4 linked regions of the Drosophila melanogaster genome follow. The protein of the gene in region 2 interacts with the protein of the main gene of each other region in a biochemical or structural test. Each region holds a gene or a part of one and is shown on either strand. Other genes may lie near its edges. The genes, in order: msl-1, tamo, dl and Ran-like.

The links.
Region 1: the proteins of tamo (region 2) and msl-1 form a complex in vitro, tested with the Drosophila melanogaster proteins (one study listed by BioGRID).
Region 3: the proteins of tamo (region 2) and dl form a complex in vitro, tested with the Drosophila melanogaster proteins (one study listed by BioGRID).
Region 4: the proteins of tamo (region 2) and Ran-like form a complex in vitro, tested with the Drosophila melanogaster proteins (one study listed by BioGRID).

What each region holds. Positions count from the first base shown.
Region 1 is NT_033779.5:18,683,207-18,690,515, reverse strand, and holds msl-1 (male-specific lethal 1), read left to right. Parts: upstream 1-1,715; 5' UTR 1,716-2,090; coding exon 2,091-3,329; intron 3,330-3,389; coding exon 3,390-5,270; 3' UTR 5,271-6,796; downstream 6,797-7,309. Other genes in the region: CG10336 (uncharacterized protein), read right to left, coding at 1-722; CG31751 (uncharacterized protein), read right to left, coding at 7,251-7,309. UniProt on the Drosophila melanogaster protein: Component of the male-specific lethal (MSL) histone acetyltransferase complex, a multiprotein complex essential for elevating transcription of the single X chromosome in the male (X chromosome dosage compensation).
Region 2 is NT_033778.4:24,127,552-24,135,263, reverse strand, and holds the start of tamo (tamo), read left to right. Parts: upstream 1-1,712; 5' UTR 1,713-2,267; intron 2,268-3,424; exon of another isoform or gene 3,425-3,669; intron 3,670-4,826; 5' UTR 4,827-4,864; coding exon 4,865-4,988; intron 4,989-5,050; coding exon 5,051-5,250; intron 5,251-5,315; coding exon 5,316-6,584; intron 6,585-6,650; coding exon 6,651-7,451; 3' UTR 7,452-7,712. Other genes in the region: Naa35 (N(alpha)-acetyltransferase 35), read left to right, coding at 1-37; Zfrp8 (zinc finger protein RP-8), read right to left, coding at 94-783, 838-922, 980-1,248. UniProt on the Drosophila melanogaster protein: Has an essential role during oogenesis and embryogenesis, perhaps in modulating the levels of nuclear import of additional proteins. Modulates the nuclear import of dorsal (dl), Dif and male specific lethal 1 (msl-1).
Region 3 is NT_033779.5:17,447,352-17,451,914, reverse strand, and holds the start of dl (dorsal), read left to right. Parts: upstream 1-1,550; 5' UTR 1,551-2,039; intron 2,040-2,546; 5' UTR 2,547-2,619; intron 2,620-3,404; exon of another isoform or gene 3,405-3,637; intron 3,638-4,563. UniProt on the Drosophila melanogaster protein: Embryonic developmental transcription factor. The lateral or ventral identity of a cell depends upon the concentration of this protein in its nucleus during the blastoderm stage.
Region 4 is NT_037436.4:15,483,869-15,486,973, reverse strand, and holds Ran-like (Ran-like), read left to right. Parts: upstream 1-1,571; 5' UTR 1,572-1,615; coding exon 1,616-2,269; 3' UTR 2,270-2,578; downstream 2,579-3,105.

The sequences.
Region 1 (7,309 bases), on a different chromosome or scaffold from region 2:
GCCACAGAAGCTCCACTTCTGTCGAAGGTCGCATTTACACCGGAGTACGGCGTGGACATTACAGCATTGCCGCGGGAGAATGACGGAGTAGCCAGCGTGCTGTTACTGGAAGCAGTAGACATTTTCCACTGCTGCGGGCTGGGAGGCGCCAGCCTGGACATGGCAATCTGTTCACCTAGCAGGGCGTCGAACTCATCAAAGGGTTCATCGCCGGCACCTTCCTGTTGCTCATCCTGCGCCTCCTCCAGGGCCTCCGCTTCGTGGGCGCGCATCTGCTCCAGCTGACCGAGTCGATATCGCGCCATGTGCACTTGGAGGGGTTTCTTCTTGCCCAGCCGTTCGATATTGTTAAGCACATCGTCAAAGGTGTAGGTGGGATACATACGATGGCCCCAGTGCTGCAGGCGGCGAAGCACCTCGTCGAGATCGGTTTTCTCGTAACCCTTGCCCTTGAATTTGATGTCCTTAAAATAATCTTCGATGGTCTGGATGCCACGAGGACCTCGAAGTGTTTCCACAGTGAGTCGCGGTCGGGGATTTCTCACAGCTCGCTTCTTAGGCTCCACTATCTGGGCATCCTGGCTACCAGGTTCTACGCCGTTGTCCTCGTCGTCCGCAAACAGCTTTTCGCCTTCGCCATCGCTGGGCAGCTGATCCGGGTCAGTCGGAATGTTGTCATTGAATAGGTCATCCACACCATCATCTCCGAACAGGGATGCCATAGAACTAGTGGCCGAAACTTAAATACCAAATAAACAATCTAACAAAATTTTGGCGCCAATTTTTGTTCTTCTTCTCTATCTACCATTCACAGGCGACGCTTGCATAAGTCACAGGGGGCTGCCAACTGAACAGCTCTTTGTTCTTTTAATTTTCCGATTACATAACTATTTGGTCTTTCCCAAAGGCTATTTTGATTTGCTTAGACATATTTTCATTAGTGGGTGGCACTAAAGGTAATTTGTACAGCCAACCCGGCTTTTGCATTGGTGGCAGCAGACATAAGAGATGGCAGCGTGACACGTTTTTTTTATCACTAAGCGACACATTGGCGTCACGAGTTTTTGTTATTCTATTATATTTATACCATTATACAAGGAAGGATAATTCATCCAAAGATTGTAGTTATTTAAATTTAGTGAAATATTTAAAAGGAGTTGGTAATGTAATAAAATTACCAAAAAAAATAAAATAAAATCAATACATTATTAGCTAGCTAGTTTCTTTTTCATCTATTTTCTCATTCCAATTACTCATACCACATAAAAATTGAAAATAATTATCCGGGGAGCAACGGAAGATTATTATTTACGTTGAGAGAAACTGTCCTCTTTTAACTGCTATCCTTGTGGTCTGGCAGAGTAAGAAATAAAAATGTGTTTAACGACATTTAGTCGGAGTTGACGAGCTGCCGCTCTTTATTCTGGTAACTGCAAATTTAAGCTGAAACTTAAAATGATTCTTAAAGCTAACAAAGACTCCGGCCCAATGCTGTCTCAGCACTTTGATATTATGTTTCATACACTAAGCCAACTGTACTAGTTCGTCGGCTCGTGTTAACTTAGCTATTAGCTATTATGTGCAACAAAGTACAGTTTCGTGAAAATATTTTCACTTCGTGACTGTCGTGCTCAGCTCGTGCATCGCAGCAAATTGCCATCTCTATGCCCCCAATCAACTCTGCGCTTTGGCGAAAAGTGGCAACGCCAGCAAAACGCCATACTTTTAAGAGCATTTTCGGGGCGACTTTACATTGTGAGGACAATTGTGGAAAAAGCGGTGAAAGAACGTTCAAAAACGAACCGAAAAACTGCTGCCTAAATGCGGTCACCACGTGCGATAAGAACGCCACGTTTAAAACGATAAATCCATTAGATTCTGGCCAAGAAAAGAGCGGTTCTTTTGCGAGGGCGAGCAAGGAAAATTTAGTGTGGTGCGAAATTGTAATCGGGATTCTACGCATTGTACGGCGTATCAGCTGAAGAGATTGTGTGCACCCCAAGCGACGCAAACAAAACCAAAACAAAACAAAAACATTTGGAGAATTATGAGATCGTAGGACCGACGGCACGGGATTCAATTCGACTGCCATGGACAAGCGATTCAAGTGGCCGCCCAAAAAGCGGGCCAACTACTTGGAATCGCCCTATCCCCACATACCGTCGCGTGGCCGCCAAAGGAATCTGCACGGCCATCCCAATCAGACGCAGCATCTTCATCAGCATCCCGGGAAGATCTATGAGCGCCAGCAATATGGCAATGGTCGTGGAGGACATGGCGGGGGTAATAACAACTACCGAAAGCTTTTGCATTCGCTGCCAGCTGAGCATGGTGGCGGAGCCATGGCTCCTCCTTCCTCCGGCGGAACCGTGTGTGCCGGCGCCGATATGGTCAAGCTCATCTCGGAGAACAACAACCTGAGGCGCATGGTTATGTTGAACTTAAACCTGATGCAGGAGCAGACGGACAGCATAGCGGCCAAGGACAAGGAGCTGGACGACCAAAGCGCTAAGATGAGCGTGGTGAAGGCGCAGAATGAGGAATTAAAGCAGGCCGTTGCTCAGTTGGAGGCCGCCAACCAGGAACTATGCAAACAGCTGCGGCGAAAGAACCAGCGAAGGAACGACAATGACGACGACGACGATGATCCCCCACTGCCACCTGCTGCCCCGCAGCAGAAGTTGATACGTTGTCATGCTGAGACGCAAACTGTGTTTCGGGAGCGGGAACAGGGCACACAAACGATAGATGCGCAGCCTCAATTCGCGAATGCACTTCCCAGGGGTATCAACATGAAGGAGTCTCCCGCTCTGGACCATCACGCTGGAGCGGTAACGAATCAGCCAGCCAGCAAACGCTCGGAGAGCAAAGGCCGCGGTGAATTCAACGGTAAAAAGGTGAGCACGTTTATTCTCCAGCGCATGAATCAGGACTTCGAGCACCACATCCACGAGCAAACGGAAGTAGCAGAGGAGCACGAGATGGAGGCACATAAGGAGCAAATATCTCAGGAAGAGGACCAACTGGTCGCTGAGGAAGATCATCTGCATATGCAAGAAGTGCACACCGAGGAAGTCGTTGGAGGCGATATCTTTCATGATGCTTTGGAATCAATTGAAATGGAAGTGGTCACCGAAGAGCTGGTTGATATGGAGGAGCATGGACAGTCCGTGGATGCCAACGGCCATATCGAGGAGGATGATGACGAGGACGACGAAGATGACGAGAATAGTGATAAAGACGATGACAGTGAAGAGGATGATTATCCGTGGATGCATAGCGATGCGGATGTAAACGCCAGAACTGAGGAAGAGCTCTGGCAGAATCAGGTATGTTTAATGTTATTATTTAATTAAAAGAATATATCGAGCAATCCTTTACTCTTTCAGAATTACCTTTTGGAATTGGACCCGACGGAGGAGAAGACCTGTGCGCCTTCGGCCCATTCAACTCCCAATCACCAGCAGAAGTCTTCGACACAGGCAGAGATAAGGAAAGAAGGAAATCAGAATCGGATAACTGAAAAGTTGTTGCAACTAAAGCCTGAGCCAATGGTAGATGCATTAGAAGCGCCGATTCTCCCGAAGTGGGTGGCTTTTAAGAAAAAGGATAAGGAACATGAATCAGTCCCCGAGTCCCCAGAAGTACCCAAGCAGCAGCCGCATCAGGAAGATGCCATCGTTGATCATAATGCAATAAAGAATCAGTTGGAAGTTCCCAAGCCGGACTTAAAACCGAAGGACCAGCCCAAAGACGAACAGAGGCAGGATGGGCAGCTGGATGTTCGCGTGGAACCACAAGAGGATGTTCGTAAGGTACAGAAGGAAACTCTGAAAAGGCAACCAGAGGATGCACCTAAGCACCTTCCGAAAGCGGTAGCCCCAAAGGTTACGAAAACATCCTCTCGAGAAAGCACGTTGCCCAAGGCAAACACCGCTGACATAAAAGACGCTCCCGCTCAAAAAGTAATAGCCAACCATCAGTCCACCAAGACGCAAACGGATCCTGTAAAAACGCAGCGTTTGCAGGTTAAGATCAGGCAGTATGAAATGCATCCTGACATGAGAACCGGCTCCTCCGCCCCGTCTGATATTCGGAAACAAAAGAACGTTGATCCAGTTTCGACGCCCGAGACGAAAACCATTAAAAGTAAAAGTATGTTGGTCAATGATAAAAAGACCACGTCGGAAACGTCTCAGAGCCCAGATCAAGAAATAGATGTGGAAACAGTTAGAAGAAAACTGGCGGAACATTTAAAAAAGGAGCTCCTAAGCCAGAGTCATTCGTCACAGGTTACGCTCAAGAAAATAAGAGAGAGAGTCGCCACAAATCTAATATATCCACCACCCAGTGCACCAGTATCCTCAACAACAATAACCCCAGCGCCTACGCCGTCAACGACACCAACGCCTGGCTCAACGCCACAGCATGCGGTTACATCCTCAATGGACCAGGAAATATCTGCAGCAAAATCGAAATCCAAGGCAGCTGAACAAATAGCAACTCCTCTGACACCTCAATCTAATAGCAGTGTTAGCAGCACCACTTCGACTATCCGAAAAACGCTAAACAACTGTTCACCCCACACGTACAGCAAGGCAACGGCGAGATCGGGAAAACTGCAGTCCAGATTCCGCACTGCCACGTTTCCGTACAGCACGAGAACGTGGGAGGATCAGGAGTTCCACTGTGACAACGAGTTCTTCCTGGAGGAGGCCGACGAGCTGCTGGCGGATAACCCTAGTCTGGAGATACCCAAGTGGCGGGATGTCCCAGTGCCACCCAGTTCGGATAAAATTGACACAGAATTACTGAGCGATGCGACCTTCGAGCGCCGGCACCAGAAATATGTGAAGGATGAGGTCGATCGAAAGTGTAGGGATGCACGTTATATGAAGGAGCAGATACGGCTTGAACAGCTTCGGATGCGACGGAACCAAGACGAGGTGTTGGTTGCGCTGGATCCTCTGCGCGCCTCCACTTTCTACCCGCTGCCCGAGGACATAGAGGCCATCCAATTCGTCAACGAGGTGACAGTTCAGGCATTCGGCGAAAACGTGGTCAACATGGAGGCGCGGGATGATTTCGGTGTGCCTTGGGTGGATGCAATCGAAGCGCCAACCTCCATAGCCAGGTCCAAGGCACTGGCTGAGCCGGTGGCAACGTTGGCTAGCAAAAAAATACCCACCACTGCTGCCGAGGCGAGGCATCAAGAAAATCACTCCTCCTACGTGTTTCCCAAGCGACGCAAGCGCCAGAAGAATCGTTAGCCAGGAAACGCCTGGGGGATCTGATACTGGAGCTAAGCAGAAGACTGTCGGTTGGGGGAAGTCGTTGCGTTTGACATACTAATGATTTTCAGTTTTAAATCATGAATTATTTCTTAAGCTTAACGTGAAAGCACCAGAGTTAACAGTAACGATTACCACAGATCGTCTAGAAGTCAAATAATCCAGAGCAGACGATGTTTATTGTATATATGGTTCCTCAACTGTCCGTTTTTATTTGTGTAATAAAATGAACGGAACGCTGAATTCTGGAACATTAGAAATTCTTTGTTATAGAATCTATAAATTTATGTCAAAGTTTTGTCGTTTCTTATGCGATGAGAGATCTTAAAAGGCAAGTAAATTGAGCTGTCCTATTCAAACATTTTTCTATTAAATTGTTATCATATTTATTTCCTTGAAATATAAATAATTCGATCTTATATTAGATGTAAATGAATCCAAATGTTCGTCGCCTGGTCTGGAAATGATTAGTTTTTAGTTAACGTCTTGCAATTGAAAAGAGTTTCACCCTTGCTTGTTTCCAATGTACGTAAATTACTTAGTCCCACACAGCATGTAATTCAAACCAGTCGCTTAGTTAGATTGGTTAACTCATCTCAGCTTTATCACCTTTAAAATCGCCCGCACTAAAGTGATAAGAACACGAAAGATATTCACATAAGTTATATTGGGCATTTTTTTGGAGAAAAACAATGAAATTCGTAGACTTATATTTTTAAATATTTTTTTTCTTTAGCCCTTATAACCATTTTTTTTGTCTTTGTTTATACTGTTATATCTGTCGATTCTCGAATGCAGACAACGTGTGTGTTGCAAAGAGTTACTCAGGTATATCTCTGATAATTTGTCTTTTTTTTTAGGATTTGATTGTGTAAAAATTGAGTGCGAGTGGTTGTCTGCTTCGAGTAATCAAATTATACATTGGATCTATTGTTTTATTTTATTAACTTCATTAAACTTGTTTTATGTTGTATCGAACAAGAAAGGCCGTTAAGATGAAAACTAGATTTGAAGAATAAATATAAAACTGATTCCCGAACTGCACACCCGTTTGGCCTTATGGGCACCATGTATTTTTGGCTAAATATTGTTTCGTTTAACACTTCTTCTGTTTGACTTTCTGTCGCAATGATATGGAGCCTGCCAACGTCCGGAGAAATCAAATCACCAGCTCGCTTTCGAGTGGCGTCTTATTTTTGTACATTTCGATAGGTGTAAAGTCGGTTACTTGTAATATAGCGTTAAGTAGGCACTGTACCCAAACGCATAGAGATAATTATAATGTAACAAAGTAAATACGATACGATGTACATTGTCCAGGAAAAGGAGGAGCGGAGGGTGGATGAACTTCGTTCAACACCATTTTACACCATTCAATGTAATTAGCGTTAAATAGTTCAATTTACTGAAGCTTCAACTAAAAATCAATTCGAAATTAATTGCCACCATTGTAGAGCCCTAAACAAACTCACCTACTGTAAGAATAAATGTACTACATACAATGTATTTGTATTTGTTTAACAAGTTTTATTGTAAAGATAACGATAATAATATACAGGATAAAGTAAATTGTAAAGCAACGAAATGCAATCAATACTTGGACTTGCAACTTATTTTGCACAGGTGATATGTAAATGAAATTCTAATAATTGACAATGGGTTTATTTAACAGGCCTCAATTGATTTTCCAATGACCTGGCATCGCTTGCTTCTGGTTTCCTTAGATGTCTTTTTGTTTGCGATCATCTCGATATAAACTTGTTTAGGGGCTAATTGCAAATGTATTTAATATCTTAGAAAATGCTTCATTATACTCTATATATTGGCTGTGACAATTTTATCTGACCCTCGTTACCTAATGGAAAACATAACATACAAAATCTTCAACAACCAGAATAGCTGGATTGAAAATCAGTTAAAATACCTTTAAAAAACGGAAAAGCCTAACGGAATTTTATATTATTTATTGCTCTGCGTCAAGTACTGGTGTCCAGTGCTTGCCCACAGCTCATCAATAT
Region 2 (7,712 bases):
CAAACACAGCTACTTCCCCATCATCAAGCTGAAGTAAATGTTCACGTGTTTCGTAATTGACAAGAATAAAATTTAAATGTACGCATTTTAATGTCAACTCTGATCCTCCGCCACAATGTCCTGCTTGATGAGAAGCTCCTCCACGTAGCCGTCGATGGGGCAGCTTTTGGCGCAAGTGTAGACGGCCAGGACGCCCCAGTCGAGGTTTTCGTCCTCCAGAAGAGTCAGCGCTTGCGGCATAATCTGAAATTCGAACTGACGCTCTCCTCCGCAAGCAATGCAATTGGGCAGCTTGTTAAGTTGGTCCTCCACCGTTTTGACGGTATTCGTGATCCAGAGGGGCTGGCCTCCACGTTTGTAGCGCACGATCTGATCGGGTTCGGCTGCTGTTTGCTTTTTGAACTGACGAAAGGTCTTGTCATCGGCGGCCGCCGAGTTTCCGAAGTACTTGTCCATCTCCGCCTCGGAAACATTGCTCAAGTCGCCCGTCTTCCCGCTGGACTCCAGCTCCTGGAACTCCGCCAAGCGAGCCTCATCGTCCTTGTCCTCCTCGCCAGACTCCACGGGGTTGCTGTCCATTACAATCTCAAATTCTGGGAAAACGATTTGTGTTAAGGGCTTCTCAGTGGCTACTTCTGGTGCTCCGCAGTTTGGCTTGTGTTGTGGCCAGTGGGCCCTTTGATGCTCTGGTGAGCAGTAGTGGATTGCCTTGCATTTGCTGCAGGCGTGAGGAGCATGGCAACCGCAGGCGGCGCATAGTTTCTTTAGGCAGGGAACGGCGGGCTAAGAAAACATATTATGATGAGTATGTTCTGAAAATATGGCTGCTGTTCCTACCAGGGGTTGACCCACGTCGCTCGGCTCCTCCTCCGAAAAGAACTTATTTTTTCGCGGCAACTGTGACCTGAGGACTGTGAAATTGCTGGAAAGATGGGTAAGATTAGGTTGCAAGTTGGTTTTCAGAGCTAGAAGGGATTACCTTGCATTTTGGGCCTCCTGGCAGTCGGAATTCCGGCACAGGAACACATAGATGGACCGATGAAAGTTGTACTCGTCTTCGAAGGGAGCGTATAGCTGAGCCAGGAAGGATTTGGGTGCCCTGCACTTGCTGCACTGCAGCTGCGACGTGGGCGGCAAGGCCTCCAGTTCCAGCCATGCGGGCTGGCCTCCCAGCTTGCTGGGAAAGTAGCGGTTGCTCAGCCAGGCGCCATTGTCGCTCTTTTCCGCAAATCCCAAGTCAATCTCCATTTCTTTCAATCTCCGAAACGAAACTCGTGTTCAGTGTGACCGCAGCGGGAGCGCCAGAAAATACCTCTACAAATTCCGAAATAACGTTGTATAATAACTGATATTTTCGGGGAATCACACTTTTTGGGTGTTATAATTTAAAATTTAAATTAATTACATTCGTTTAATTTGTTGATTTCGGCAGTTCAATAAAATAAAATATTCTTTTCTTCATTGAATATTTGCGATTACTCTTATAAACATAAGGGGGAAACATAAGATTTTAATTTAATGACATTAATCTGGAAGAATAACAAATCTCATTATCCTGAGCCCTTAAAAATGGCAAGCGGTTCAAAATTATAGAGCGAGGATTAATCAGATAAGGCCCCTCTTCTACGCCACTGATAATAAAGCTTGCATGCCATGGATTTGGTATTTTCCGCGAGTTCCTCCATGGCGATTTCCCAGATTTTGGCCACTTCAGTATGCGGTTATTTCTCACGGTTAAAAGTTCTGCTCTCCGAGTTGATTAAACTGGCTAAAGTGATATTTTATTTACTGTTGTGATAAACGCGTGTGAAAAACAAAGACTTTCCATTGCCCGCGGACACAAACGATCACGAACCGAAGAGTGAACCGCTCAGAAACGGGGGGAAAACCAGTTTTCCCACGATTTGATGTGATTGTGAAAGCGCAACGAGATTTGTCAACGCAAACAAGCAAGAAGAAGAGCCCGTGGATAGCGTAATATTTGTTAATAATAACGGCTGCAAAAACAACAACATTGCGGAAGCAGAATCTCCGACTTGTCGCGTTTCCGTCGCAGCAGCGCTAAAAATAAACCCACCCACGCACCGCCCCCTCTCGAATCGCCAACCACCCACTCCCGCCCACCATCCACCTACCACCACCTTCCGCCCACACCCACGCACGAATTTGGAGAGGTGAACTTGTGTTGACTTTTCCAGCGCGCGGACTTTTCCGAAGAAAAATGCAAAAATGAGAGCCGAGCCACCAGCGGACCACTGGGAATTTGCGTAAGTCCAAGGCGGATGCTTCCTGGTTTCGAATTACAGGGTATCACGTGCGCTGCTGCGAGCTAGTGAACAAGAAGGCACCAGATGTTTGATGGAGTGCACATAGAGAAAAGTTTGTGTAGGAACTATTAGGTGTCCGGTACAGGGTATCTCCGCTTCGATGCCCCTGGCAGTGGCTCGCTTTCTGGCTGCCAAAGAACGAGCCGGGTGAGCTTTTATTTGCTAAATTTAGTGCCGCATTGCTGAAAATAAGAATGGGAGCACCCTGCCATCGGTTGCCGGTAGGCAGACTCATATATATGTATATGTATATGCATAATCGCCCCTGACGGCCAGTGTGTGGTTCGGTGGATCTTTGTCCAGGGCACATGGCCCGAAACTGTTGCATGGCCCATCCTCGTCCTGGCCAATCGATGCCTTCGATGCCGACTTCGACTTGGAGTGCTGCCTGAATCAATAAACGCCTCAAATCCCTGCCATATTGCGTCCATTGTAATGTCAGCACATAAATTCTCTGCCCATCGAGGGGCATTTTCACTCGGCTGCAGGCATTCGGTAGTGGTATGTACGCTATGTGTCCTGGCCAGGCAATAAATATTGAAAATTCAATTAGCAGACGGACGGGCAGCCGAAATGCTATGAATTTATCACCACCTGAGTGCGAATGTGCCTGTGGTACTCATAGTAAATAAGTAACTTCATTGCCATTCGGCCCACTCCACTTGCTCCACCTGCATGCTGGCTATTGATTTTAATCCGCCCTGCAATCATCTTGCTTCATTTGGCCGCTGAATTTATGGGTTCCCACGAAAGCTCCACTTTCTTCGGCCCGCTTTCCCATTTCCCCCACTTCACATTCCCATTCCCACCAACAATGTGTGCTGTTTCGGCGCTGGAAAACATTAATTAAAATTCACTGGACTGGGAAAGCTATCAGTTGCATGCATATTCAATTGATTCATTATTACAGGACATCATACATGTAATGCTCAGCTCATTAATCGGTTGACAGTGCGTTCCTTCGACTGACTGTTTAAATTCCCATTTCAATATTGTTGTTAACTAGTAGTATGTATGTACGTACATATGTACATATGCTTATGTACGACTTGAACCCAAGCAACTAAATAGGAAATTGTCAGTATGTGTAGCGTCGAAATTATTGCATAAGTAAATAAATTATAGAGGATGAGAAGGGAAGTCAGTTTATGTGGCTTGCATAAGTTTGTTTTGATATATTTGATAATTATACGCTTATCACTGCCAATGTTGTTCTCTCCGCACACCGCGTTTATTCGACTCCTCTTGTCACCACTTCGCCGTTTGCTCAGTTGCACTACACTTGTTTATCCACGCCCGCCTTGCTGCTCATTCGCATTCTGATTGGAGCGCCGAACGCCAAGTGAGTCACTCCCCAAGGTTGCTCAGCGTAGTGCCTCTCCGGTGTTCTCAGTATCGAATGCCAAAGGCCAATGGACGATCTCTGGCTCCACGATAGCCGATATCAATATCGAGTTAGCCAGTCAAGTGGCTCGGTTCTCCGGCTGGCGAGGGGGGAGATAAGGGCAAGCGATGCAATCGCGAGGCTTCTGGGTTCCTATCGAGCACTTGTGGGCTTTCCTTCGGGTCAGCGAGCAGATGATACCCAGTTGGGAGTAGTATTTGCCAGGTAAAGCTCATAGATAGTAAAGGGCTGGAGCTTGCTTTCCGGTTATCTATTATCATCACAACAAGTGAGCTCCATTATTGCGCTCACTTTATTTACTCTACTTATTTTCGCGTATATTAGGTAAGCCTGGAAATTGTACATGATTAGCATTTCTGACCTTATGACTCACCGAAGCAAAGCTACGAGCAGCCCCACATTTAGTTGATTTCTATACAATTCGCTATCTTTTATTTCAAAAATAAACCTTAGATTAGATACGCCTTTGCAAATAAACAAAGTATGCTGCAGAGTCTTCCTGGATCTCCACCTAGCAATCATAATAAAGGGCTTCCAGTTGGTTTGAAACCCCATAGATGGACTCTACTTAGTGTTTGGTCATGGTGATAGTTTTAGCTTTGTAATTTCTATTAACAAAAAAAAATTTGTATTTATTGTAAACGAAATCCCCTGAAACAGCTTTTCTCCCAGCCAATGAATCAGCTTCCACTGCATCGGGGAGCACAGTAGACGTAATCACAAGTGAGCTTTTTGTTGTCAACTGTTTTTGTCCGCGAGGGGCAAGTACTGGTTGCTTAGGTGCTCCGCTGGCTGGGAGGAAACTGATAAGGACTCGGGAATGCCACTATCGATGACGGGCCCCAATGGAGCCTATTGTTTGCTCTTATCTGTCCAGTTATTGTTACTCCATTCGAGCCCAGTTGGTTGTTTATTTGTTTGTTTGCTGCATGCCGCGACGGCGTGCGTCATGCGGGGAAGGATGTGATTCTGGTGATTCATGCCAGAGAAGTGCATCCCCACCCAACCCCTGGTGGAAAATCAATAGCCATGGTGGCGCGCTCTGGGCTCTCGAGATGTTCGCCGTAGTGTAACCTTGTGTTCTTGTTTTGCAGGAGCCGGAGGCGCCTTGAATGAGAGTCCTTAGCCCGAGATGTCGGATTTCGTGCCGCACGACCTCATCCCCGATCTGTGGGATGAGATTCTCCGGCGCCACTGGATGTTTCTCGAGACGGAGGAGAGCATAGAGAAGCTCGAGGAACGCAAGCAGCTGGAGGGTGAGTTCGCCGCCTTGTCCTTGTCCTAAATGGAAATGGAACTAATCAATCCGCGCTTACAGGCTGCCTGAAGGAGTTCCTCTGCGTGGTGCAGCACGATCGCAAGTTCTTTCTGCCGGAAACTGGGCATGTCCTGCGGAGGTCTGTGCTCGAGCTGCCCGACTTTTCGGCCCAGAACGCCATCGTAGCCTTCGAGACCATCAGCCAGTATGCCAACAATCTGTTTACGAAGCCATGGCGAAAGGAGTATCGAACTCTCAAGGTGGATATAGGATGATGACGTATACTAAATAGCCACTTCTAACTGAATAATCCTCCTTTCTGCAGACCTATTCGGGATGCTTTCAGCACGACATCCAATCCCGCCTGCTGGACGCCGAACAGCTCTTCCTGGCCATGGGCTATCGCCGGGCTGCCGAGGACACCTTCGTCCTCGAGGGTCCCATCTGTCCGGATCAGGTTACGAATGTTTCGCGCGACGCAATGGCCGCCTACGTGGAGTGCCAGATTATGAAGCACATCTACGCGGGAGTGACGGCAGCGGGATACGTCTGCACTTGGAAGGACATCCTACAGTTCCGCGAGCGTTACGTGGGTGGAACTTCCACGACCATCAAGGAGATGGTCAGGCAGCTGAGTGAGAAACGGGTACGAATGGAGCAGCCACCGATGCAGGAGAATACATATAGCAATGTGGTGAGTGCTGCTCCAACTGCCTGCGGCATGCGCAGCAACAACGTTGCCCATCATCCCAGCAGTTCCGGCACTTGTGCCCTGCATCCCAATGGGCTGAACGAGGCGGGTAAGTATCTGCCGCCTTACCCAGCGCCTCCGCCGCAGCAACCGCACCTGCCTGGTCCGCTGATGACGCATTCTCGCAGCCTGGATCACTACCAGGAACCGCAGGCCCATCTGCCTCACCGTCACTCCTTCGATCAGCAGCTCCAACAGCAGTGCCAGCTGCCGCACGTCTACGAGGCGCCCTATGACTGCTTAGATGGCCTGAGCATGGGCAGCAGTGCGTCCTACGCTGCCGTGACTGGAGCCTACAATGCACCGGGAAACCGCTATCCGCTGCCGTACAACATCTCCAGCCAGCTGAATGCCCCGTATGCGTCGCCCGCCGACTTCTATGGCAATGGACAGCACACCAACATGTACGCCACGCTGGGAAAGACGGGCCCAGCCCACAGCTGCGATTTGCACCGTCGCCAGCCGAACACTTCTGCTGCTGCCGCTGCTGCCTTGGCGGCTATGCAGCACCGTCAGAGCACCTATCCGCCGGATCACCACCTCATCGACTTTGACGAGCGAGCGCATCTGACCCAGCATGACTTTGGGACGCATGACTACGATCCGCAGTATGCCGAGCTGAGAGGTCAGGTGCAGCCTAGCATGCGGGGGAATCCGGTAGCCATGTATGCCACCTACGGGGGCTACGACCTGCCCACCACGCTACCGCAAGCGCCGCCGCCGACCGGCCAGGATATGTACATCTATGCGCGGCCGGTTCCGAAGAGCAGCCGTATGCGGGCTTTGGCCGAGGCGGGTGGCATTAATTCGACTGACAAACATCCGCGATCAGCGGAAAAGCAAGTAAGTTCTAACAACATCATCATACTTATATAATGGTTACATATCGTTGCCTACTCCTTTTAACAGAGCACCATGGACAATAATCGCAAGATGCACAAGGAATTGAAGGAGCGGAATAGTCGGACTGCACCGGCCAAGAGGTCCGGCACTGAACGTGATATACCCACCACCATTTCGGACTTGAACAGTTACGACTCGGCTAGTCTGGACGGATTTGTGGCCCTGGACAGTAGTAGCTCGCCGCCTCTCATGCCCAAAGTGCAGGAGGGTGTCGGCAGTTTCGAGTCCTGGAACTATGTATTCAAGAACCTCGAGCGATCGGGCTACACAAAGGACCTGGGTGACCGCGAGGACTTGCTGGTGCAGAGCTTGGACCTAGGCTCGCTGTCCATAACGAACGGCGGTGCAGCTCCTCCGGCGGAGAAGCGCCGTGAGGCCACGAATCCCACAAACGGAGAGAAGGCGCGAACGCTAGATAAAAAATCCGGTACGGGGCGACGCGAGGCTAAGGTGGTGCAAGCTCCTGCACCCAGTCCTCTGCCCAATAGCAGCAGTGCCGGCGTTAAGAAGGTCAAGTCCGCCTTGAAGACGGCCGTCGTGGACAATCGGGGAACCGGGTCAAGGCAACGCACAGGAGCTGTGCCCAAGCAGCCGCCGAATGTGTCTCCCCAGCTGATTGTGACCAGTCCGAACGAGTGGAGCTGCAGCTTCTGCACGTTCCTCAATCCGGACACGAAGCGCATCTGCGAGATGTGCTGCCGCAGCAAGGACTTCAACCTGGAGGCCGCATCGGCGGCTTCCTCCTCGGCGGCTGCAGCTGCGGCGTCAGCGGCCAGTGTGTCGCACGCATCCTCGACCTGCGTGTAGGATGCAGTGGATGCAACGGAACCCTCGTTAGTGATACAAACAGTGTATAGCTTCATATATTTTTTATACGACCAATGTAAGCCTGTGCGCGTGTCTCTAAGATCTAGTCTCGATCGAAGTCGTCGTTCGATGGCAGGCAGCCCTTTGTCATCCGCATTCGGCTCCTTGGATGAGCGGATGGCGCTGCAGACGGGATGGGTCTGCAGTCTGTACATACGAAGTATTCTAATTAGTTACCCCTACTCGTAAACACACGCTTTA
Region 3 (4,563 bases), on a different chromosome or scaffold from region 2:
AATTCCTATTTATTTGCGCTTAGCTCACGTGCACTTATGTATGTATGTATGTTTACCAGGTGGCATGACCTTCGTGCCAGTGTGGTTTTGATAACGATTTACGATAATGGCGGAAAGTCCTTTTTTATGCATATGTACGTAGTATTGGGAAGAACTTAAGCATGTGGATTTTGTGTCACCGACCATCCAACTTTAATTAATATTATTTTTATTCTTATTTACTTATAAATTTTTCACAGTAATAAAATAGGAACATTTAGTACTTATTTGTAATTTTGTCATGAAATTATAAAAATACTACCTGGTTCTTTCGCATGTATTTCAAACTGATAATATTTCGTTTTCCAAATAATGTGACAATTATATTTTCTATTCATCGTTCATATTTAATAATTTGGTTTAATTAGCTGAAAAACCCAAAACATAAAAATCCTTATCTAACGTGCGACCACTTTTTAAGCGATGTATTCAATTATCAACTGTACTGACCCCCATTTCCCCAGAAGGTGAATCAGCAATATTATCAAATTCCGCGTAACAAGCCGTCTTGAATGTCAGAGGTCCTCCGCCCGGAAAGTGAAAGCTGCTCCGGAATGCTGAGCACGAAGCAAGTGAGTCACGGCATTGAGACTCTGCCGCAGTGGAAATTAATGCCACAACAAATGCCGGCGCAGGATATTATCCTTTTTCCAGGAATCGTACGCTGATTCAGACCCCCCAACCGCATGGGTGGGAGTGGGGTCTTAAATGGATAGCTCGCAGCCACACACACAGATAGTTAGTGCTCACCGTGCTGTTTCATTCATAAAAGCTGAAAAAGCTTTTCGGAGGCAGTCGCTCGTGGAGATGAGTCACATGTGAAAGACACTGAGATAAATGACGGAAGTTATTTTTTCCATTTATATTTTACTTTTCGTAAATATGCATATATAGTTGGAATATTCGGCTATTTAAACGAATCTCACATTGAAAATCGAATTCTTGATGATTGGTTACCATACAGTTGAATTCTCAATATTTAAGAAAAACAAAATATTTATATTTTCCGATTCCTTTGGGATGCTCCTAATAAAAAGATATGCATTTTCAATTAATTAGGTATTCCTTCAATATAATACGTGTTATAGATTTAAAAGGTGACACATTTTAAAAGCTTTTGAAAGAAACAACTGGCCTGCATTCCTACTAATCGGTATCAGTCAGATAAAAACATTTATATTATATGTATGTATATATTGTTTCGCCTTTATGCAATCATCGCGTATTCCTCGAAACTCGGATTTGTGGAAGATGTGGACATCTGTAAGCTATAAGTCGCAAGTGGAAAACTTCAATCGTACGTGACTCAGCACATGCTGATCTCGCACTCTTCGCCAAGCTAGGCTCTTCGGATTGTCTCTCTTCTGAGCTTAAGTCGAGACTGCAAAGAGCAGAGCTTGGGGCCGACTACTTAACTCCGTTGAAAGCTTCGCGATCTGCAAGTTTTGCGGTATTTTTCAGTGGCGCATACGGTATTGAAAGTTTGGCTCGCCTGTTTCTTCTTGGTGGGCAGTTAGTGTTCAAATCGCGGGCGTCGAGATCGGTTGGTAGTGCGTGTGTTACGGGTATTTTATCTCCACCTCCAAATTGTGCCTTATTTACCTTTTTCGCTGTGCTTTAAGCTTCCGCTCTCTTTCGCTCTTCTGGAGCTCGAAGGCAGGTTGAAATACCAGTAGATAAAAATAAAACGAAAAGTAAAAGAGCTGCATAAAAACGCATAAATTCAATTGAGCTCTAAGCAAGTTTCACTTGCTTTTTCGTATTACGAGTGACAAAAAAAAGAGACCCACCAATATAACGGAGGAAAAAACAAAAATAAAAAACTCGGCGCACGTATTGATAATTTCTATTAAAACTGAACGTTTACCGATTAGATTACACGGCACATCGACACTTTAACCACAAACATCGCAAGAATAACCAAAGAAAATGGAGGGCAGAGCGCGATAACAAATTACCCTAAATTATAAATCGAATAAATCGAAAAACAAAAACAAAAGGTAGTCGTACGTCGATGATCGCATAAGCATAAAGCCCGGAATTCCCTAGAAAAAATCGACGTCACGCGCTCTCTCGCGCTCTTTGCCCACTCTCTCTTTCTTCGGACTTCGATTTCTTAACTTTTCATTAGTTTCTGTTCGAACTGTTCTCCCCCATCCGTTGTTTTTGTCGTTATTATCGATATTATCGCACCCGCTTTGTGCGCGCGCAAAAGTTAAAAAAGAATAAAATAAGAAGAATCAGAAAGAGAGAGAGAGAGAGAGTGAGTGAGAAAGGGAGGGAAGAATAAATTATTTATATATAAAAAATAATAAATAAACCGGTTCCTGCCGTGCGTGCTTGTGTATGTGTTAACATTAACATGAAAAAAGCGCCATATTTCTCAACTATAAATAAATGGCTTATTTAGCTCGCTGTGCAACGGACTAATTTTCCAATTAACACAATAAGAAACTTAACAAATAATGTACATAAAAGTGTACTAATTGGTTCGCGTTGAATTTCAGGTGTCCGATTTACTTAGCAAACCCAGTGATATCAATGCATATAAGCGAGATTTCAGATCACTCCTTGACTTAGGTGAGTCCCCCTATAGAGCCTAGCTTAATTTATTGATTCTGAACATTGATTGCACGGATTAATAAAGTGCGGTGGAAAATCCTAATGGCTGCGTTTTGCGAGAAGGGTCTTGATATTTTAATAAATATGTACACAACTATTGCTTCCAAAGACGCAAAATGTCATTACAAAGAAACGCATCTTGCATTAAACATATTAAAAATATAACCTTATTGAGTCATTGGACGCCTTATCGTTTCGGAACAATGTTTACAGCAACAACATCGTGATTTATCAACCATTATTCACACTTTTAAGGTTTGATAAACCAAGACTGGTCACTTTTCTCGCATATTAATATTTTTCATCCTAAATAGTTTTAACATTTTGACAATGTTTAAAATTCCTGGATGCTAAGATTTGTAATAGCTCACAATTTCTGCATGACAAATAATAGTTAAGATGTTAAAAAAAAACTATTAGAACGTATTCAATCCTTTGTAGTGTAACCGCAGTTGTTGTTGTTGTGTTTTTTGGGTGGCAATTATCCACCTGCGTATTAAATAATCTACGGTGAATGCAAACGATAAACTTAAATAATACAACCGAAACACCTGTGTACATGGCAGCGCAGTCGCAGTGGCTTTTCGACGTCGCCATAAATGAAAGTTTCTTACGGGCACGTGGGTGGGCGAGGGGGGCCGTGGGGCCCAGAGGGGGTGGGGCTCGTGGAAAAGCTTTTGCCCCTTGTATTTATTTATTTTTTGCTGCCACTCAAATACGCCGGAGAGGTTTTCAATTGTTTCATTCTAAGATCGACTCGATGCGCCTGCGGTCGTGTTTGCGCTAACATTCTTTTATTTTTATTAAATATTTTTAAAATTCCCTAACGGTTCGATATTATTTTTAAGTAATAATTTGAAAAGTACCATTTTGAAAGAACAAACTGCGGTTAGTGTGCGTTTTGTGGCCCAAATAAAAGCAAAAAGTGAAACCGAATTCGTCATGAGTGTTCACTGGTTCTTGGTTTGATTCGCAGGTAATTATGAAGAATGAAGAAATGCTTTTAGCTGCTAATACGGTGTAAACTCGAAAAGTGCAACCAAGTTAAATGCAAACCGTGTGCTGACTCATAACATCAGACTCTCGTCTCCGGGACCAAAGAAAATCAAAGCGCTAAAATCGCTCAACTCGTTTCCAGCAAGTCATCGGCGATTTACAAAGCTCGAGTAGAGATTTGTGTGCTAACAGAGATCTAAGGCCAAGTCAATAGATAATATTGGTTATATCTACTGGTAGTTTCCCCGTATGCTAAATCCGAGTCATGATTGATACACGATCTGGCTGTGGGTAAGGCCCTCCGCTATGCAAATCATCAATCAATAGGGATTCTATTTTAGGCGAATATCATTTAAACCACTCGATAAGAAAGATCGTGGCCGTTATAATTGGAGATACGGATAAGATATGTATCTGCATTTTTGCCGGAAGTCACATGTGCACAATAATCCCTGATCGGCTAATTTAACAAACATTGTTTGGTGTGGAAAATAAGGATAATGGACTTGTATTCATACGATACAAAACATAGCTTTTGGCAACTAGTTCCATCGATTTGTCAGCATATCGGTTATTTATTTTTATTTGAGCTGTAAATTGCTTGACGCCAACGATCGTTAAAAAACATTTGTCTGTCTGGAGTTCTTGTTTTTTTTTTTTTTGCGGAACCCGTTTCACTGAGGAATTTTTGGCTGCTTCTGATGCTTTGATGTTGATCTTAATCTTAATTTGTGGTGCTGGCGCCAAAAGAACTTTTTTCTGTGTGTCTTTGCTATTGGAAATTGCATAAAATTAGCATGTTAAATGATCGAAACGAAATGTTCATTTTATTTTGTTTACTTACCTTTTTTTTTTATTTTTCGCCAAAAGTAGTTATCGTTGAACGAGTAGAACGTTATTTTATTA
Region 4 (3,105 bases), on a different chromosome or scaffold from region 2:
ATTTTAATATGTTATTTATTTACAATTAACGCCCCAGCAAATGCCTTCGTGTACAACTGGGCGTATGATTTATGGCATTCTCGGCCCCCTAGCAATTGTAACTATTGTTGAATGCAATTTCCTTTTGTTTGCGATTGTAAATATATATATATATATACATACATATGTACATATAAAATTGTGCGTGTAACAGTTGCCTCTCGTAAATTACAGGTTTAAGGATTTCGGGCGGGGTGTGTGTGTCAATTTTAAAAGCCAAAATCTTTGGTCGAAGGGGTTTTTGGGGTTGGATTGAAGTTGAAAATGAAATTATTTATGATTCTCATTTGATGCGACAGCTTTTGCCCAACACGAACTGTGTACCGAAAATGGGTTGTTGTATGATGCCAAGTGGAATCAAATAATGGGTATAGTTTAAGAGGGTGTAGTTGATCAATTTGCAAATATTACTTGGATTTCATTACGAATTAGGAAGCATTTCTCCAATAGAAGTTAAATAAAAATGAATTATACTATAGTAATTGTTCACATCGTATTTTAACTGCTGTTTTTCATTCTAGCACCAAAATAAAATGTTATATGGTTTATATATCTATAATCGATCTACATAGCTCGCTGTTTTCTGTTATTTGAAAGCGTATTGAAATTCTGTTTTGTAACATTAAGCTTTTCCCATTGTTGCTATTTAAACTATTTTATTTTTGCATCTTAAATTACAATACCGTTTTATTGTTAAAGAATCCCGAAAATCAACAAAAGCCAAAAATTAATATGCAGGCATATAAAGAGTGATTTGATCAAAATCTTAAAGTAAAGCTAATTTACTCTAAATATAACCGCTCTTATTCCAATAATATGTATAATATATATCATATCATATTTATTCAAAACAAACCATCATAAATGGGTTTTTTTTATATTTGTAGTTCTGCATCTGGCATTTTAGATTACATTCAAGCTTTTCATAATTTCCCCGACTTCCCTGAACTGCCACTAAAATTGTTTTATAGTTTTGTCCTTTAAATCCTGCAGCATCTTGCAATGCTTTCAGTTCTCCGAACACTGTATGTATCCCTGTTCCTTGTGCACAAACTCACTCCCATATTTTAATTTGTTAATTACTTAGTTGCCTTGTTGGTAGAGGAAGAGGCTGTACATTCATATACGGATTAACTGCCATCCTGGCTAAGTAATCAGCATATAGTTATATATGAAGCGATACAGCCAGGTTAGTAACTAATTAAACCCTGAACTTAGTTTTGCGTACTGTTATTTTACTGGTCGAAAAGTCTGCAGATGGCTAAAACTCATGTTAAACCGACGAGTGGATATTAAACATTTATAAAAATTAACTGATTAATTTTAATAAAAAAAATATAAAATGTATACATACATGCAATACATTTTTAAGAGTCTTTAAGTACCGAAAGATTTCAAACATATTTTCCTCGTGAAACAGATCATCGCAACTTTTTCCTTGACATTTTTTCTGCACAAAGTAGGTTCGGATATATAAGTATGTGTTTCGTCTCAAAAACTTTCAATATTACACAAACCGCTGGCAGGATAGGTTCAATACAAATTAATAAAACAAAAATATTAAGTTTTGTCGATCATGCAACCTCAAGAGGAAGTGAAGGCCATTTTCAAGCTGATTCTAATCGGAGACGGGGGAACTGGGAAAACCACATTGGTCAAGCGACATCTGACCGGCGAGTTCAAGATGCAATACAATGCGACCTTGGGTGTGGAGGTCGAGCAATTACTGTTTAACACCAACAGAGGAGTTTTCCGCATCGATGTTTGGGACACTGCCGGTCAGGAGAGGTACGGTGGCCTGCGCGATGGGTACTTCGTCCAATCACAATGTGCCATAATAATGTTCGATGTGGCCTCGTCAAATACATATAATAATGTGAAAAGATGGCACCGCGACTTGGTGAGAGTATGCGGCAACATACCGATTGTCATTTGTGGCAACAAGGTGGATATCATGCATAAAAAGACTTGGAAAAAGGGTGTTGACTTTGATCGCAAGACAAACATTTACCTCATTGAAATGTCCGCAAAGTCGAACTATAACGTGGAGAAGCCATTCGTCTATCTATTGCGAAAATTGGTGGGTGATCCCAGCCTGCAGTTAGTCCAGAGCCCCGCTATACAGCCCCCAAAAGTTGTTTTTACCGACGAGATGAGCCGTCAAGTGGAAAGCTTATTCAATGAGGCCAAATCCAAACCTCTGCCCACTATTTACGATATTGATCTGTAAAGATCAATATCATGATCATGATTAGTGTTCTTTCAAAATTTTCATATTCTGCAAGTGCAACGATGATCTTTGCTTACTTTGTGCCCATGGATGAAGACATTCAGCTGAAGTACTTAATAATTTTTAAATTTCTAAATTTCTAAATTCCGATTGTTTTCGAAGATTCTAATTTTTTTTTTGTAATGGACGTAAATTTCAAAAATTCAATGGTGTAAAATTGCAGGCTCGGATTTATATTTCTAAAAGACTAATGTATCCCACTATATCTGTTATTTAAATATATAGATAGATGTAATAGATACTACATTTAAATTTAAATAAACTTTTATAATTTAAACGGCTTCATAAGTTTTTGACCCATATGTTAAAAAATGCAGAAAAATCGATTCGATTTCATTAAGTTCTGCGCATTGTTCTGCTGCAAATTGAAGGATCCTGGCCAATTTCGGGGGCTCCAAATAAACCGCTCCTTCAGTGGGGATTCATTTTAAGCCCGGGGAGTCCACGCTCGCTTCGTAGCCATCTACATTACCCATACCAGTGCACATAAGCGCTTAATGAGTATAAATGAGCTTGATTGCATATTCCAAGGCGCTGGCGGACCCATCCTTGTGCTTCTGTGTGTGCGAGCTGTTTTTTAATAGCCTGCATATGGCGTTGTAAAAGTTTTCATTACACAAACAGCAGCAGTGGCAGCAACTACAATTTACCGGCAACAAGAGCAGCAACAACAGCAGGCGCAGCAGCAGTGGCAGCAGCAACAACAACAACTTATTGGCCTGACTTTTAAGCGCATTTAACACACGGCGTATGCGTAATGTGCTGCCAGAGCGAGA